2 linked regions of the Oreochromis niloticus genome follow. Each later gene encodes a partner of the first gene's protein in a complex. Links are inferred from orthologs where the notes say so. Each region holds a gene or a part of one and is shown in the gene's direction. Other genes may lie near its edges. The genes, in order: orc2 and lrwd1.

What was found.
Region 2: the proteins of orc2 (region 1) and lrwd1 are in contact, whole or in part, in a crystal structure (PDB 8SIU), measured with the Rattus norvegicus proteins. The link is inferred for Oreochromis niloticus from reciprocal best matches to the Homo sapiens genes ORC2 and LRWD1. Residues at the interface, in NP_001012003.1 of Rattus norvegicus: Val11, Pro12, Ser13, Val14, Gln15, Phe16, Val17, Gly18, Asp19, Val22, Leu23, Ser24, His25, Ile26, Leu27, Asp28; in XP_038945348.1 of Rattus norvegicus: Pro262, Leu263, His264, Phe265, Leu266, Gln267, Cys268, Ser270, Asn273, Ser274, Pro275, Leu320, Val321, Leu322, His323, Lys324, Tyr325, Lys326, Leu367, Val369, Gly372, Phe373, Cys374, Pro596, Pro598, Val599, Ala600, Val605, Ile630.

Annotation. Positions count from the first base shown.
Region 1 is NC_031982.2:7,478,889-7,486,314, forward strand, and holds the start of orc2 (origin recognition complex subunit 2), read left to right. Parts: upstream 1-4,233; 5' UTR 4,234-4,392; intron 4,393-4,651; 5' UTR 4,652-4,653; coding exon 4,654-4,723; intron 4,724-4,815; coding exon 4,816-4,974; intron 4,975-5,587; coding exon 5,588-5,674; intron 5,675-5,794; coding exon 5,795-5,884; intron 5,885-5,975; coding exon 5,976-6,007; intron 6,008-6,099; coding exon 6,100-6,157; intron 6,158-6,261; coding exon 6,262-6,572; intron 6,573-6,662; coding exon 6,663-6,772; intron 6,773-6,855; coding exon 6,856-6,988; intron 6,989-7,077; coding exon 7,078-7,174; intron 7,175-7,248; coding exon 7,249-7,395; intron 7,396-7,426. Other genes in the region: uncharacterized protein LOC100700781, read left to right, coding at 639-784, 883-1,012, 1,350-1,500, 1,606-1,786, 2,209-2,327, 2,815-2,941, 3,090-3,152, 3,254-3,359 and 1 more. UniProt on the Homo sapiens protein: Component of the origin recognition complex (ORC) that binds origins of replication. DNA-binding is ATP-dependent. The specific DNA sequences that define origins of replication have not been identified yet.
Region 2 is NC_031975.2:24,534,999-24,542,822, forward strand, and holds the start of lrwd1 (leucine-rich repeat and WD repeat-containing protein 1), read left to right. Parts: upstream 1-4,795; 5' UTR 4,796-4,877; intron 4,878-4,886; exon of another isoform or gene 4,887-5,740; intron 5,741-5,746; 5' UTR 5,747-5,753; coding exon 5,754-5,833; intron 5,834-6,314; coding exon 6,315-6,549; intron 6,550-7,540; coding exon 7,541-7,660; intron 7,661-7,824. Other genes in the region: alkbh4 (alpha-ketoglutarate-dependent dioxygenase alkB homolog 4), read right to left, coding at 1,490-2,011, 2,946-3,134, 3,430-3,546. UniProt on the Homo sapiens protein: Required for G1/S transition. Recruits and stabilizes the origin recognition complex (ORC) onto chromatin during G1 to establish pre-replication complex (preRC) and to heterochromatic sites in post-replicated cells.

The DNA of each region.
Region 1 (7,426 bases):
TTAACTACCGGGTATATTAGATTTTTTTTCTATGATTTATTTTATGATTCGCTAAAGGTTCTCCCTGGTTGTACTTTTTTCATTATTTTTGACTCCTCGAGGACACCGTAGTAATGTGATCGGAACTTCCGATTCACTGTTTTGAAAAGGTAAACTGTGGTTTGTGCTGCATTTGTCTGCATTTTTTGTTGTTATTGTTGTTGTTTCCGATGCTTGTTATTGTGCTAGTGTTTACCCTCACTGTTTCACAAACGCTATTATGCAGATTCGAATGCAGTCTGATTTTATTCTATCTATCATTATGACGCACGATAATATTATCGGAAGGTCTTTATAGTAACAAAAAGAGGAGGAATAAAATACTGCTTAATGAGTTGCAGTCCATTTGTAAAGTTAGTGTTTAAGTTTAAGTTAGTGTTGTCAAAGTTCAAAGTGCGCTGCATTACATAATCAGAGACGTTGCAAAACCACACCCAAGTGTAATGAAGTTTACTTGCTGATTCGTGCATGTATAGCAGATACTTATAAATATAACTATAGAAATATGCTGGTTGAGCCAATCATGCAATAGAATTTAATTGCATGGGAAATATCTGAAGTGCTCTGTGTGTGTGTGTGTGTACTCCAGTGCTGCCAGTATGGAGGGAGATCCTCTCTCAGCCCTGTTTACTCCTGCTTTTGTGGTGGATGTGGATAAAGCGAAGAGGAATGCCCAGAGGATGATCGAGCGCTGCCAGAAACTGGGAGTCCAGCTTCGTCCACACATGAAGACCCACAAAACCCTGTATGGATTCATATGCTCACGCATAGACACGCACACAGCACATGCTTACAGACTTGCTGTGTATACAGGATTCTGATGAGGTCTCTGTGTGTGTCCAGTGAGTGTGCTGACATTATGACGGGTGGATCACAGAGGTGCATAGTGGTTTCCACCCTGGCAGAGGCCTGTTTCTATGCTGACCATGGATATGATGACATCCTCTATGCCTACTCTGTTCCCTTTGATAAGGTTCTCTCAGCTCACACTTTAAATGTGTCCTTGTTTTATATTCTGTGAAATCATAAAAGCTGTAAAAAATTAGAAATGGAAAAAATATATTATTAATAACTGAGCCTGCTGAAAATGTATCAACTATGAATCATATTTAGTAATATTATCACTAGAAACAATACATATATGTAAATATATGATACATGTATATCGCCATAGCACTTGCATGTAAAATAGCTCCAGTTCTATGCCATTACTTTGACATAATTTCTCATCTGTTTTATATTTGTTAGTTTTTAATGTCCCAGCTGTGCTCTCTGTGCCATTTCTAATGTATGTCTCTGTGTGTCTTTAGGTAGAGCGTTGTGCAGCCCTGTCAGAGAGACTGGATCTCTTCCAGATTTTATTGGACCATCCTGATGCTTTGGAGCAGCTCCGAAAAAGACCCCTGAAAGATGGTCGGCAGTGGCACGTCTGGCTCAAACTCGACTGTGGCAATGGGAGAGGTAAACGTGCAGGGAAACCGCAATAGATCTAATCATAAGTGCCTGAGCTACACTTCACCTCTCTGTTAACACGAGGTTTGATCATGCGTCGGCTCTTTGTCATAGCTGGCGTCCTGCACTCGGAGCCAGGAGCGCTCAAACTGGCTGAAGCCATCGCTAAGACGGAGGGCGTGGAACTTACAGGAGTGTACGCCCACTGTGGGAATACCTATTACTGCACAGGAGTTGAGCAAATACAGGCTGTTGCCCAGGAAACCACCAAACTGACTCTGCAGTTCATGGAAAAGTAAGCTGAAAGTTTAAAAAAATACATGTACACTGACTCATTAAAGCTGCTCTAATCAATCATTTTATTTCACTGGCTATTTAAGAACACACACGACATAAAAGCTGTTGCTCATACTCTTGAAAAATTAGTTTTTATGACCTATTTTAACATCTTTGTTTTAGTTTCACAGCCCACAGGTTTCTTGTATTGAGTCACACAGCTTTGTTTCCAGAAGCAACAAATAAATCATACATCATATCTAAAAATGATGTATCCCATCTTTTGCACCAGGCTGTAAACATGTTTATTTCTCCTCTAAATTTGAGCATTTTCTTGTGGGTGTGATTGACTCTTTTAGAGCCACCTGGAAGAATAATTCTGCATTAACTTTGTCTTTCAACTGGTTTTTTGTTTGTTTGTTTTGGGATTTTTTGTGTCAGACTGAAGGCTGTTGGCATCACCTGTAAGTCCAGCATTGGCTCCACCCCTACCTGTAGCCATCCAGTCAAAGACATGGCGCAGCTTAGCGAGGTCCACCCAGGAAACTACGTCTTCTATGGTGTGTACACGTAGACCCACTGTTTCCTAGTTTAAGTGTGACGTGTAAAATCCACTTTTTCGTTATTTGTTGTGTATATTCAATATTCCCAGCGTGACCCAGTAAACATGACACAGACCATGCCCTTTGATTTCACATCAGATGGGAAACATAGAATCGAAAGAGCCCTTTGCCCTATAAAAACAGTCCCTGACCGTACTGTGCTCTTAAGGTCATGATATTGCTGCCTCTTAGTTTTGTCTACTTGCCCCGACATGTTTCTAGTTCACTTCGGGACCCGACAACATTTAAAGCTACAGGCGCTGAAACAGCCTGTTTGGAGCAGAGGTTTATTAAACAGTCTATAGGTATGGCAGGATAAATGACCTTATTGGTATTTTGAGCTGAGGAATAGTCGGGAGACATGTCACATGTCACACTTAAAATATATTTTTCAAAAGGGCCTTTAAATAACAATTTCTTTTAAATGTATGTTTGTGGGATGCAGATGTGCAGCAGTCTACGATTGGCTCATGCTGTCTGGAGGACGTGGCTGTGAGGGTTCTCACAAGAGTCATCGGTCACTGTCCACACAGGAACCAGCTCCTGATTGACTGTGGATGGGCTGGAATCAGGTGGGTTCAACTTCATTCAGTGGGAGCTAATACCTATCCCCTATGTTCTGTTTTTTGTTTTACTCATCACTGCTATCATCAGTGTAAGCTCTGTTTTGGAACAACCATGTAACTTAACCTTTTACCTACTCTTGCTTGTGTCTCTCAGTTTGGACGGAGCTGGGAAACTTCCCACTGGATATGCTGTGATCGAGGGGCATCCAAACCTCAAGTAATGCTTCAAAAAAAAAAAGAAATCTCAGTCTATTTTAGTATCTTTTTTCTCTATAACTCTCAGTACCAATGTTAAACGTGACTGGCGTTTCCCTCCAGGTTGTTGTCTATGACCCAGGAGCATGGACGAGTGGAGCCCATCTCAGGACAACTGGACTACAGCAAATACCCCCTGGGCTCTCTGCTCACACTGATTCCCTACCACGTTAGTACTGAATGATTTATAGCACATCTTATTGACACATCAGTTTTATTGTACATTTTCCTGTTGTCAGACAATGCCTTTTTTCTGCAGTCATGTGCAACAGCAGTGATGCATCCTGTGTACCATGTACACTCTGAGGGTCGTCTGGTAGGGAAGTGGACGCCCACTCGCGGGTGGTGAAGAGCTGGACGATGTTTCCCCCTTCTTGTCTCTTTGGGACAGATGAGCTATATAGAGACTCATTCCAAATTATTTACACATTAGAAACACATACAGCGATTCCTTCTTTGTTAGTGAGATGTGTCATCTTGATGGTAAAACATACAATTAATGAAAATATTCTTACTGTGGGCTTCAGAAGTTTCATATTGTAACAGAAACCCTGTTTCACTAATTTAAATCTCTTTAAAATTAATTGTGTTCTGCACTTGTTTTGTCACTTTTTCACGGCCTACAAGAAGACCTAGCTAGTGATGACTTCATAAAAAGAAAGATGTTTTGTGCTATCAGCTATTAATACCAGTGCTAATAAATGCTAATGAATGACCTTTTATATACAACTGCAAACTTTTGTGATTTATTTTTTCTAACAAAATAAAAAGTTTCTTGGTCCCCTTTAGTCTTCTATTTTTCTGTAATCTATGAATAGATAATTGCCAGCGTTTGAACGGACACGTAAAAAATATCTTGGTGATAAATGTTATTTTTTTTTAATATTACAGAAAATACATCATTCGCATTAATAGTAACCTACATTACTTATTGAAAATATAATAATTAATCAGTCGGCAAAAACCCTTCCCCTGTAGGGTTCTAGCCGCACAGACTGAGCTGTTGTTCGAAGTGCATCTTGGGAAATGTGGTTTTAGCTGGAAGCAGCGTTCCAGTTGGCCACTGAATGACCTTTCACTTGTCACATGGTTTAAAAACTTCAGCAGGATGGCGCGGAAACTTGTCCCAGCAGCACACTGCCTTGCTGTCACTGTGTGAAAGTTGTGTTTACATTTTTGTGTGGCGGTACTGACGCTGTACAGTAAGTTGTGTCGTTTTAGACGCATTTTTGTTTCTGTTTTTATTTCCCACTTTTATTTGGACTTTCGGCGTGTGGCCGCTGATTGAAGCAGGGCTGTTTCTCGCTGTTTGAGAAGAATGGCCGCCCCCACAGTGTTCGTGAATAGAAACGGACTGAATGAAAACCTGCGTTAGGAACTACACCTCTGAAAAGCAAAGCATATTTTGTAGTGTTACAAGCAACTAACTAAAGTCGCGCTGTTTGTCGTTGTTATCTTTAGTCATGAGTGTGCTGGAGGTGAAGTTCATCGGGGATTGCGATGTCCTGGAGCACATCGTGGACAAGCAGGAGGGTATGGATGCTCTGCTACTGTAGAAATGTTAGTTTACGAGCACTTCTGTGTCTCTCTGACTCTGCTGTCTGTACTGTGCGTACCTCCATAAGTTGCGCAGAGCATCGCCGGGTCCGTTCAGAAGATGGTAAAGTTTAAGAGCCCGGCTGGACGACGGGGATGCGGAGAGGATGCGGAACATGATGGAGATGAAAATGGAGTCCACGATGAGCAGGATTATGTCCAAGCTTTAGGAACAGATAATGCAGAAGGTGAGTGCTGAGCAGGGGTAATGACTTTCTTCACCGGGAGGTTTGTTTTCTTTGCAGACAGACCGTGATCAGCTGACGATACTGCTGACTCAGGTTTACTGCTCTTTGTAGATTTACCCAAATACGTTTGGAAAAATGCAGACAGACGTTGGCTGATTTTCTAACTCTACACAGTCAGGCAAAGTACAAATGTGGAATTTCGCAAGTGCTGGTTTACCAGCTGAAATTCAAATCAATGACAGAGATTTGCATATAGTTAGCTCAAATCCCCTACAAAATCCTTGTAAAAATATTCATGTCACAGAGGTACTTATGATTATGGCAGGAGACTTTCTGTACACCTCAGTTTCACTCCATTGCACACATTAAGTGTGTTTGTCAGATGGACTATATTGCTGATATTAACATATTATATGCTTATCAGTACTGGCATATAGGTTGTTTGATTACATGAGTTTAAAAATCTTTTTAAAATTTTTGGTGGGAATTTTGAACATTCATAATGCTGTGAAATTTTAGCTTTGTATAAATGCATGAAAAATATATGAGGCTTTTTTTTTCTTTCTTTTTTTAAATTCATTTTAAAATGACCAGTTTTCTCTTGGATTTACAGAAGATGAAGATGGCTTGTCAAGAGTGGCTGGATCCTCCATCTTTACCTTTCAGAAAGTTAAACGCAGCCACAGCATGGCCCAAACTGGTGAGAGCCTCCATTCTCTTCTCACATAGATCGGAAAATTCGCACATTATACATCTCCTTCCAGTTCTTTCTTTAGATACCATATATGCTCATTTTGTGTTGCACACTTTCCATAAACAGCAAGTGAGCTGGCTCGGACTCCTGGAAAAAGCGTGAGCTTCAGCACGACCCCAAACTTTGAACCCTCAACCCCCAGTCGAACGGGGTGGAGTGAGTACAATGAACTTTCATAATCTTTTCCGTATACTCATCTTTTTGCTCATTTTCACACAGTTAAATATTTTCTTTTCTTCTATTTCAGACCCTAGAGGTGAAAGCAGAACACCACAGAAGGTGAGACCATAGAAACCTTTAAACTTAAAGTCCAAAGCCAGCGACCTCTGGTGCCAACTTAAGAATTTTATTTTATTTTTATTTAACGGCAGAGCAAAAAGGTCCAGTTTGTCTCTACAACACCACACAGGCTCAGGAAGAGAATAGCAAGTGAGTCTAACTGGGAATAATTCAATTCATTCTAAGTGAAATTTCACCTTTCCTCTAATCTAAATGTTTTGTTTTTGTTTGTTTGTTTGTTTGTTTGTTTTTAGCTCCGAGCTTGCGGTCAGACAGCGACAGTGAGCTTTCACCCTCTGACTCGGGTGAGGAGGAGGATGAAGATGGGCTGGAGGAAGAGCAGAAAGGAAAGAAAGAGGATAAAGAGAACGTGACCACACCGAGAACTCCCAGTAAAGGTTTATCAGCGGCTCTCTACAAGACTCCTGCCAAGAAGAGCAAGAGCACGCCCGAACCTCAGAACCAGCCCAGTATGGTTGAGGAGTACTTCGAAGCTCACGGCAGCTCGAAAGTGTTGACATCAGACCGAACTCTGGAGCGTTTGAACACCCCTAAACTTGACAGGGTTTGTTTTTAACGGCATTTTGAAACATTGTAAATGAGCTGCTTTCCTAATAGATTTAGTGTGAATTTATCTTTATTTTTGTTTTTGCAGGAAATGTTGGTCCGACTTCTGGAGGGGAAACAATCCTGCTACTCAAAAGAGATCCAGCAGCTGCACGACAAACACAGAATCCACTTTAGCAAATGGATGTTACAGTTACAGTAAGTGAGGTTGCAACGTAGTTGTATGCATTTTTCTGGTGTTTTAAGAGCAGTAAAAAGTGTCTGTGCCTGTCTGTGTGTAGGCTGGGATTCAGCGTGCTGGTCTACGGTCTGGGAAGCAAAAAAGCTCTGCTGGAAGACTTCAGGGAGTGTCATCTGTCGCAAGAAATTCATCTTGTGGTTAATGGATTTTTCCCTTCCATTACTCTTAAATCAGTCAGTATACACACACACACATGAAAATATTTTGCATAAATTGCATAATAAAATAAATATCCCTGATCATGAAAATTAAATTCTCACAGATATTAAATGCTCTGACGTGTGAGGTTCTGGATCACCAGGGAACTTTCCGAACCCCCTCGGACCAGATCCAGTTTATCTCCCACACCTTAAAAGATAGTAAGCCCATCAAACCCCTGTGCATCCCAAGCATGTGTGGTTGTACCGCATGTTTTACACCGATGTCCTCACAGGCCCAGATCTGCACGTGTACCTGCTCATCCATAATATAGACGGACCCATGCTGCGAGGAGAGAAGACCCAGAGTGCACTGGGGCAGCTGGCATCCCTGCCCAACTTGCACATGGTGGCTTCTTTAGACCACATCAATGCTCCACTGGGTGTGTGTTCATAATAGTCTGCACTGAGGTG
Region 2 (7,824 bases), on another chromosome or scaffold:
AAATTGCCGTTTATTCAAAATCTTTAAAAAAAATACAGAACTTACAATAGATTTCAAAGGAGTCATGAGCTGCAAAAATAAATACATAATAACTTTAACTGCTTTCTTTTTAAAATGTATTATTTAGTATAGTAATCTCTCCAGTGACAATTCATTTCCCCCATCATGAAAAATGTTATTATAAATTGCTCCAAACCCCAGCAGAAATAAACCTCTATTCAGGAAATACAGAAGACAATAATTCATTTGACCCTGGCTTTTTATTGAAAAGTTATCTCTTTTACAATATAATTTATTTTTTCCTTTAAATATCACAAAGTAAATCACTAAGCAGGAACGGCACTCCCAATCCTGCTACATCCTGAACACAGTAACAATAAAGGTTTTGTCTTCATGTTTGTAGTCCTTAATCAAATTCATATGTTGCCAGCTGGATGAACTGGAGACGTGACTCCATTGTGAATACAGACATCTGTGACCAGTGAAGCTAAATGTGTGGATAACAGCAGCAACCTCAAAAACACAATTAGAGAACTGAAAAATAAAAGCTTTGACACCATTGCACATTTCCTGTTTCTTTTGAATAGACAATGACTTCAAGAAAGATGACTTGAACACAAAAACTTTGTAAAGGCAGTTCGTTTTGAGCGTGCAGGCCACATCCTGTTTGTAGTTCTCACTCTGTGTCTGAGAACTCATCGGGAACTGGACAAACTGGGTTTCAGAAAAATGACTCGCAGCCACTGCTGATTCAACAAAGCCAGATATGTGCAGCTGCTGCACATGATTGTTTCAGGTGACAGATCTTTTGATTCACTTTTGCAATCAGATTTGATTTTGTTTTAAGTCATATTTTACTGTTAAATGTTTATCTTAACAATTATAATTGCAGTTCTGAAAGAGAAAAAAAAAGCCTCAATCCCAACACGTGTATAATTCTCTATTCAATTTATCATCAAAGATTTGTTCTTATCATCACAAAGTCAAAGATTAGGTTTGTGTCAGTCTCTCTGCACACACACACACACACACACACACACACACACAAACATATATTTATATTAGTGCTGTCAGCGTTAATCTCGTTAAAATGACGTTAACATCATAACCACATTAACGCGGCAAATCTCCATTAGCGAGTTACCACGGATCGCCCTGTGCGTGGAAAAATTGCTTTATTCTCTCCATTTGTCATAAAACAAAAAGAACACTGAGGGTGGGGGTGGAATAATATAATGACATTGGAGCTATTTTAACACAATTTCCCCCCAACATTTTTTCCAAAGCAATTCGACTTCAGCTTGGCTTCGCACCACAGCAGATGTTCAACTAATTAATGCACACAAGCCTCGTGAGCACTGCTCACTATTTGGGGAGCTGGCACAGATCCAGCAAACAAGCCCTAGGGTGTCCAAAGGACACATCTTTACAGTTTAAGACAAGTCCAAGTGATTTAGATTGCAGCTCCCTCTGGATCCATCAAATTAGATTAAACTGGAGAGCCTTGGAAGTTCAAGGCGATATTCAACAGCTGGGCTCCGAGGTCTGCCTGCTGCCCTCCAGGCAGGAACTCTGCAGATAGCTCTCTGTAGGTGCTGCAGACTCTACGTACATGAATGTCCTTCCTGTGAATGGCGTGTTTCCATTTATGCCGTGCCTCGCCGTATAAAACTACTAAACATCTGCGAGGAAGGTTCACAGCTACATGGACCTCCCCTGTTAGTCCCAGCTCTGGCAGACCCTGCTCCAGAGACATGGTGAGTGTAGTGTCTGACAACATGTTAATGGTGACTAAGCGCTCCCCCCACAGCCAAGAATCGTCTAAGTGTGGATCGATGGCTGCACCTCGCTCAGGATGATAATCCAGGTTGCACTGCTCCACTGGCTGGAAGCCGGCTAGAGCTGATTCCTGATACATCCGAAGCACAAGTTTATGGCTCAAAGCAGGGAGTCCACTGAAGCCACCCACACGCACTTTCCTTTTCTTGAAGTTCACCTTCGGGCCAAAGTCCTGCAACAATATTGGAGGAGGCTTTTGGTCACTCCATTACTACGGTATATATACTTTCCATACTATATATATCAAATAGAATTGACGACAATGTTATCTATATAGCACATTTTATTATGGGTACACTTAGTATGCTTACCATAAAAGATAAAAAAAGCTATGTAGCTCTACAACATTTAAAGGCAATATAAAACAGTAGTAATTCATCTCATGTCCCACCCACAAAATAAGAGTGTTACAGTAATCTAACCTGCTTGATCTGAAAGCATGGCCCAATTTCAGAGTCAGTTTGAGATAAGAATTTTCTAACCTTTGATATATATTTTGAGTAGCAGAAAGCAATTCTGTCTATTTTATTAATATGATTATCAAAACTGAGACCACAGTCCAAAATGATCCCAAGGTGCCTGACTTGTTCATCGTTTTTCACAGAAAGGGATAATAAATATGAACAAATTTTCTCTGTCTCTGACTTTTTGGATTTTCTATCTTGTCTCTATTCATTTCTAGAAAGATTCTAGACATCCACAAGTTAATGTCATCAACGCAGCTTAATAATTTGTGAACAGGTTAGATCAGTTAAGTGATAAGGTTAAAAAGTAACCAATGACAGAATGTTTATTTCTGCAGTTCTAAAAATATTAACTGACACATAGAAACATTTACCCTTTAGTCATGATGAAACCCAATCGAGAAACTAACGAGTTAAACCAACTGAATCACGAAGCCTTTGAATTAAAATATCACGATCAACAATCAACAGTGTTGAAGGCAGCATGGAGAGGTACGACTCAAACTCTCTGTGAATCAATGTTGATGACCTGAGTAAACTCGGACTGACACTTATATTGACTTTACAGCCCTAATAATCGCTTCTATTCATCATAGTCTAAACAAAAATGTTTTGTTTGTTTTTATTTGATCACATGCTAACCTGTTTTCTTCGACCGGACTGCGACTCCTTCCACACATCCTGGTCCATCGCACATATAAGCTCCTTCTCTTCCTCTTCTGATATGAAGTTCTCCCACAGGAAGACCCCAGAAAAGGGGAAGGATGCAGCCTGGGCATCTTTTCCAACAGCGAGCCTCGACTGAGGATCGTAGAGGAAATGATGGACAATCTTCACAGAAAGACAGATAAACAGAAAAACATCGTTATTTATACAGTGACGCAAATGTATTCCTAGAATTATAATTTTTGGCGATGAAATTGACAGTTTGTAGTGAATGCCTTTTTGTTATAAAGACAAACGCTGTTGGCACACATTTATAACCGCAGTAATATCCCTTTAATAAGGATGGAATGTCCTCCGAGGGCACCCGTACCTTGTTGTGTGCGCTGCTGTTAGCAGTATTTGATTATTTTTTTTACTTGTTATAAAAACAATATAACAGTTTTCTGTTGGAAAACAGTACCTTTGATTCACTCGCCTCCGGCTGTACTTTCTCTTTCAACCCTTCGCAGACGAGACACCGGCGGACACCTTTACAAGCGCATGAAGGCACGTCGTCACTGGTGTCGGGAGCCATCATCCTGCATCTTCTTCTTGTGTCAGGAAGTGGCAGCAAACGAAAACATTTAACTATCGCCAGCTAGCGGAGAATGCGGGCATTTTCAGGGTTAGCAGAGCTAAAGGAGGAAGCAAATAAGAAAACTGATATCTGAATATAAAAAATACAAATGTATATATATTAATAATAATTTTAAAAAACATAGTAGTGGAAGTAGTGTTTGTATCATAACTAGTTATGGTTCACAACCAAAACCATTAACATAACTACATTACTAGTTAATGTTCACTAGTAACATTCACGACTGACTGCCTTAAAAAAGTTGGGGGCAACTCCAAAAGCCTCTTATAGCCTTTGTTTTCTTAGAACAGATAATGATGCAATAAATCATTTTAAAGTGTTTTTGTGGATATTTTGTTGACTCCGTTTACATATGGGAGATTTTCATATACTTCAGTGCCACCCTGCCTAGACCTCTTGCCCCTCCTTGCCGTTCTGTTAAAGTCTTCATTGTTCATTGCTCTAAACTGGGAGTGCCAGAATGAATGCATTTCAGGGGCTACAGACCGCAAAATCTACTCTTCAGTTCTAGACCCTTTCTTTTGAACCATATCCTGAAAATGTTCTGCATGGTGATTAACGGCACAACTTCAACTGAATCATTCAAAAATTACACGAATATTGCCTTTTTTGTTTTGGAACATTGGAACTATACAAAAGCAGAAAATATTCAGATGATGGCTTTTTGGAATGAAATGCCAATAGTATTTCACTTCTTTGTGATCCAAAGAACTTAAAATAATGTAATTTTAAATCAATGTCAATTTAATTCATACAGCACTTTTAATTACACGTAAACTCAATGTGCTTAACGTAAATGAAAAAAGTAATAATAATAAAAACTAAGTTATTGTACCTCTCCAAAAGTTGAATCTGTTCATCTGGACGTAGCATTTTGTGGGAGAAACGTTTTGTCACTCATCCAAGTGACTTCTTCAGTCTCAGCTGACTGCAGGTTTCCCCAAACCTTACAAACAGTACATTTGCATAATGACTGAAACCAGCCCACTGAAGGAACAATGGGCTGTGAGGTCAGTTCCTTAATCATAATTATGCAAATTCCCATGACCATTGATCAACAATCACTGACCAAAACCCACTGATCAAGGAACACTGATCAATGGCCATGAGTAAGTTATTGTACAATTGCCATAGGTTGTTAATCCCTGGCAAGCAAAACCCAGGCTGTAAAAAACAATGTCTTGTTTAAACCACGCCCACCGGATATACGTAACGTTTCCCCGGGAAAGCTCGGTTTCAGCAAGAGTGTTTTGAGTTCGCTCAAGTGTTTGGTAAGTGATATTAATCACATATATTGACAAGTTTTAAGCTGTTTAATAACAAAAGCAAAACCACTAACGCTTGCTCTAATTAAATCAATAATTGTTATTTGTGTTTGTAGCCGAGAAATGTAAATATATAGAGATATATACGGCTGTCGGCACTGCCAACGTGGTTAGCTAGGAGAAACTCAAACTTATTATCATATAACGCTTTCTCATCTTCTTTACGTGAAATATCCTTCCTCACCTTAGTATGGATCTCTATATAGACGTTATGACAACGTTACTTAAAGGATAGAGCGTTATGAAATCGCATTTAGCCTGTTATTGTTGAATAGCCGCTTATTTATCGTAAACTGTTTTTGGAGGAAATTTTCCATTTCTTTAACAGATTAATCATGCTGAGGAGCAAGAGGGGATTTTAATTGCTAAATGCCAAAAATGCCAAAAAAGAGTAATTAGACCAGCTAAAACAAGTGGAACAAGCTCAGTTGTAAACAGTATCTGTGTAATAATATTAAACACAAATCTACTTGTTTAAGTCTTTGTGTGTACTACAGCGTTTCTCATCCACAGGAATTTTCATTGTTCTTGAAGCTGATCAGTGGTGCTGATTACTAATCAGGCCTTCTAAAGCAGTTACAGACCATGTTTGTAATTCATGTTTTCTTATCCTATTGTTTGTATCTAATCATATTCTTAAAGAGCTTTTACGGAGTTTCAGTCCTTGATGTAGTCAGTTTGTTTTGGCCATGTGGGCGGTGCTCTGGTTGCGTGATTAGAACAGGATTGACAATATAAATAAACTAGGAGGACACTTATCTCAGCCCTATCTTCAGTTTGCCATCTTCACTCCTGAATTGTGCTTCTTCCTGCAGATAAGCAATGGAAAAAATCACTGAGAAAGTTTTACTGGAGAAAGCCTCTCCAAAAGCCAACAAACTGGAGCAAATCATGACTTTGAAGTAAGGACTTTGTTTCTCCTTATCATGCTCTGTAGGTGTCTTGCTGTTAAAGTTGCACTGAAGTAAACTGGTAATGCTTAGTTACAGTTGTGGTAACAAGTTTACATCCACTCATCATGGGCATGCTTGTCATGGTATTTTTATGATGATTCTTGTTTTTTTTAAAGTAATTAAAATGTATCCATTCGTTCCACCCTGGAAATTATGAAGCCCTAAATGACCATGACATTTATGCCAATGCTGAGTGCATATAAACAATAAGGCCCTAATATTCAAAGACATTTTGCAGTTGGCTATTTAAAAACTGGAATAAAACATTGAATTAATGGAAATATTTTGATACTTTTGTGATATTTGTGTGTATGCAATAATATTTAAACAAATGATTATAGATGTAATACTATAATCACTAAACGGCTTCATATGTAATTTTATTTCATACCCCATGGAAACACTAACTTTGGTGCTCTTTGTGTTTCAGTCTGTCTAAGATGAGGTTGAAGCTTCAGGATCTACCTGTCAAGCTGCTGTCCCGTCTCCAGTCTCTGGAGAAGTTAGATCTTTCTGGAAACATGCTGCAGGAGTTTCCCAAGAACCTGGAGCTGCCTGCACTTCGCTTCCTGGACCTGAGTGACAACCAGATCGAGGATGTTACCACTCTGGACTCCCTAAGCAACGTAGAAGAGCTGAGGATGGATGGCAACCTCTACATCACTGTGAGCACATAGCTTTGTTTTCTCCTTACACTCCTGTTTTAGGGTTACTCTTTGCAGCTACAGCACAAATGGCAAATACATGAACAGGTTATAACTGACACTTGTCATCAGTATTTCATAAAATCACATACTTCTACACCTACTGCTGTCTGGCTTGGCTCATGGAGAAATATTTGAGTCAGGCTACATTGCTGAATGATCATACCAGCTGATTATTAGTGTTAGCATTGCAAGGGAGCACGTTGCATCAGTTGTCATGACAATAAAATATTCCTGTGTTTGACTCCTCAGCCAGCTCAGGCCTTTGTCTGCTGAGTTTGTGTATTCTGTCTGCATCACCTGCAATACAAACACATGCTGATGATGTGAAATGAAGTCCTGTAGGTGTGAATGGCTCTCTTTTGTGTCAACTCTAAGATAGACTGTGTTCCAACCTTTCTCCCCCACTGTGAAAGAGACACAGTTTCAGCCCCCACTATCCTGCAGACCATAAATGGAAATAAGGAAATCCTTGCTACTCTGTAGGATCTGGTTGTTTTTCTAGGTGATGCATTTGATAAAGCAAAACACATCCCTGCATTCCTATTATCCCAGTACCCCAATGAAAACTGTATTATTAGCAGAGAAATTCTTTTAAAAATGGTTTCCGCTCATTTTCATCCTTTGCTTCTGATTGGCTGCCACTCATAAACAAGATCGAATAGCCGGTAGGTTCAGTCTGAGCTCACAAAAGTGTACACAACAAATATATAAGATCTTTGTCAGCTCAGTAATCAGAATGAGTAATTATATAATAATTCTGAACTATAAACTTGTTTCCTTTTTTGCTGTGATCTCCAGTGTCCTCCACATTTGCACAGTCACATCAAATGTACAGTACGTTTGAAAGGAAAGCGTTCACAGAAAGACTGCACACAGTCATTTTTTAGGTCCCTTCATCATAAAATGCCGCCACACTGACTTAATTGTTAACGTTTCTTTTGGTTATCAGGTGAGTGACACTTACAAGCTGATGGTGTTGCTGCCCAATCTGAGGATTTACAGCGGTAAAGATGTCAGTACTTCTGCCAACCACTTGCGTTATGTCTACAGTGATAATCTGAGGACCAGGGTATGGAACTAATGGCTTATTTTGCTCTACTTCATGGTATTGGTGTTAATGTTCCTGCATTTGATACTGTACAAAGTCATAACATGCACCAAAAAATGATGTTTAGCAGCTGTTGTTTTGAACAAAGATATTTTTGGCACAGATGTGGCAATACGTCGTTTCAT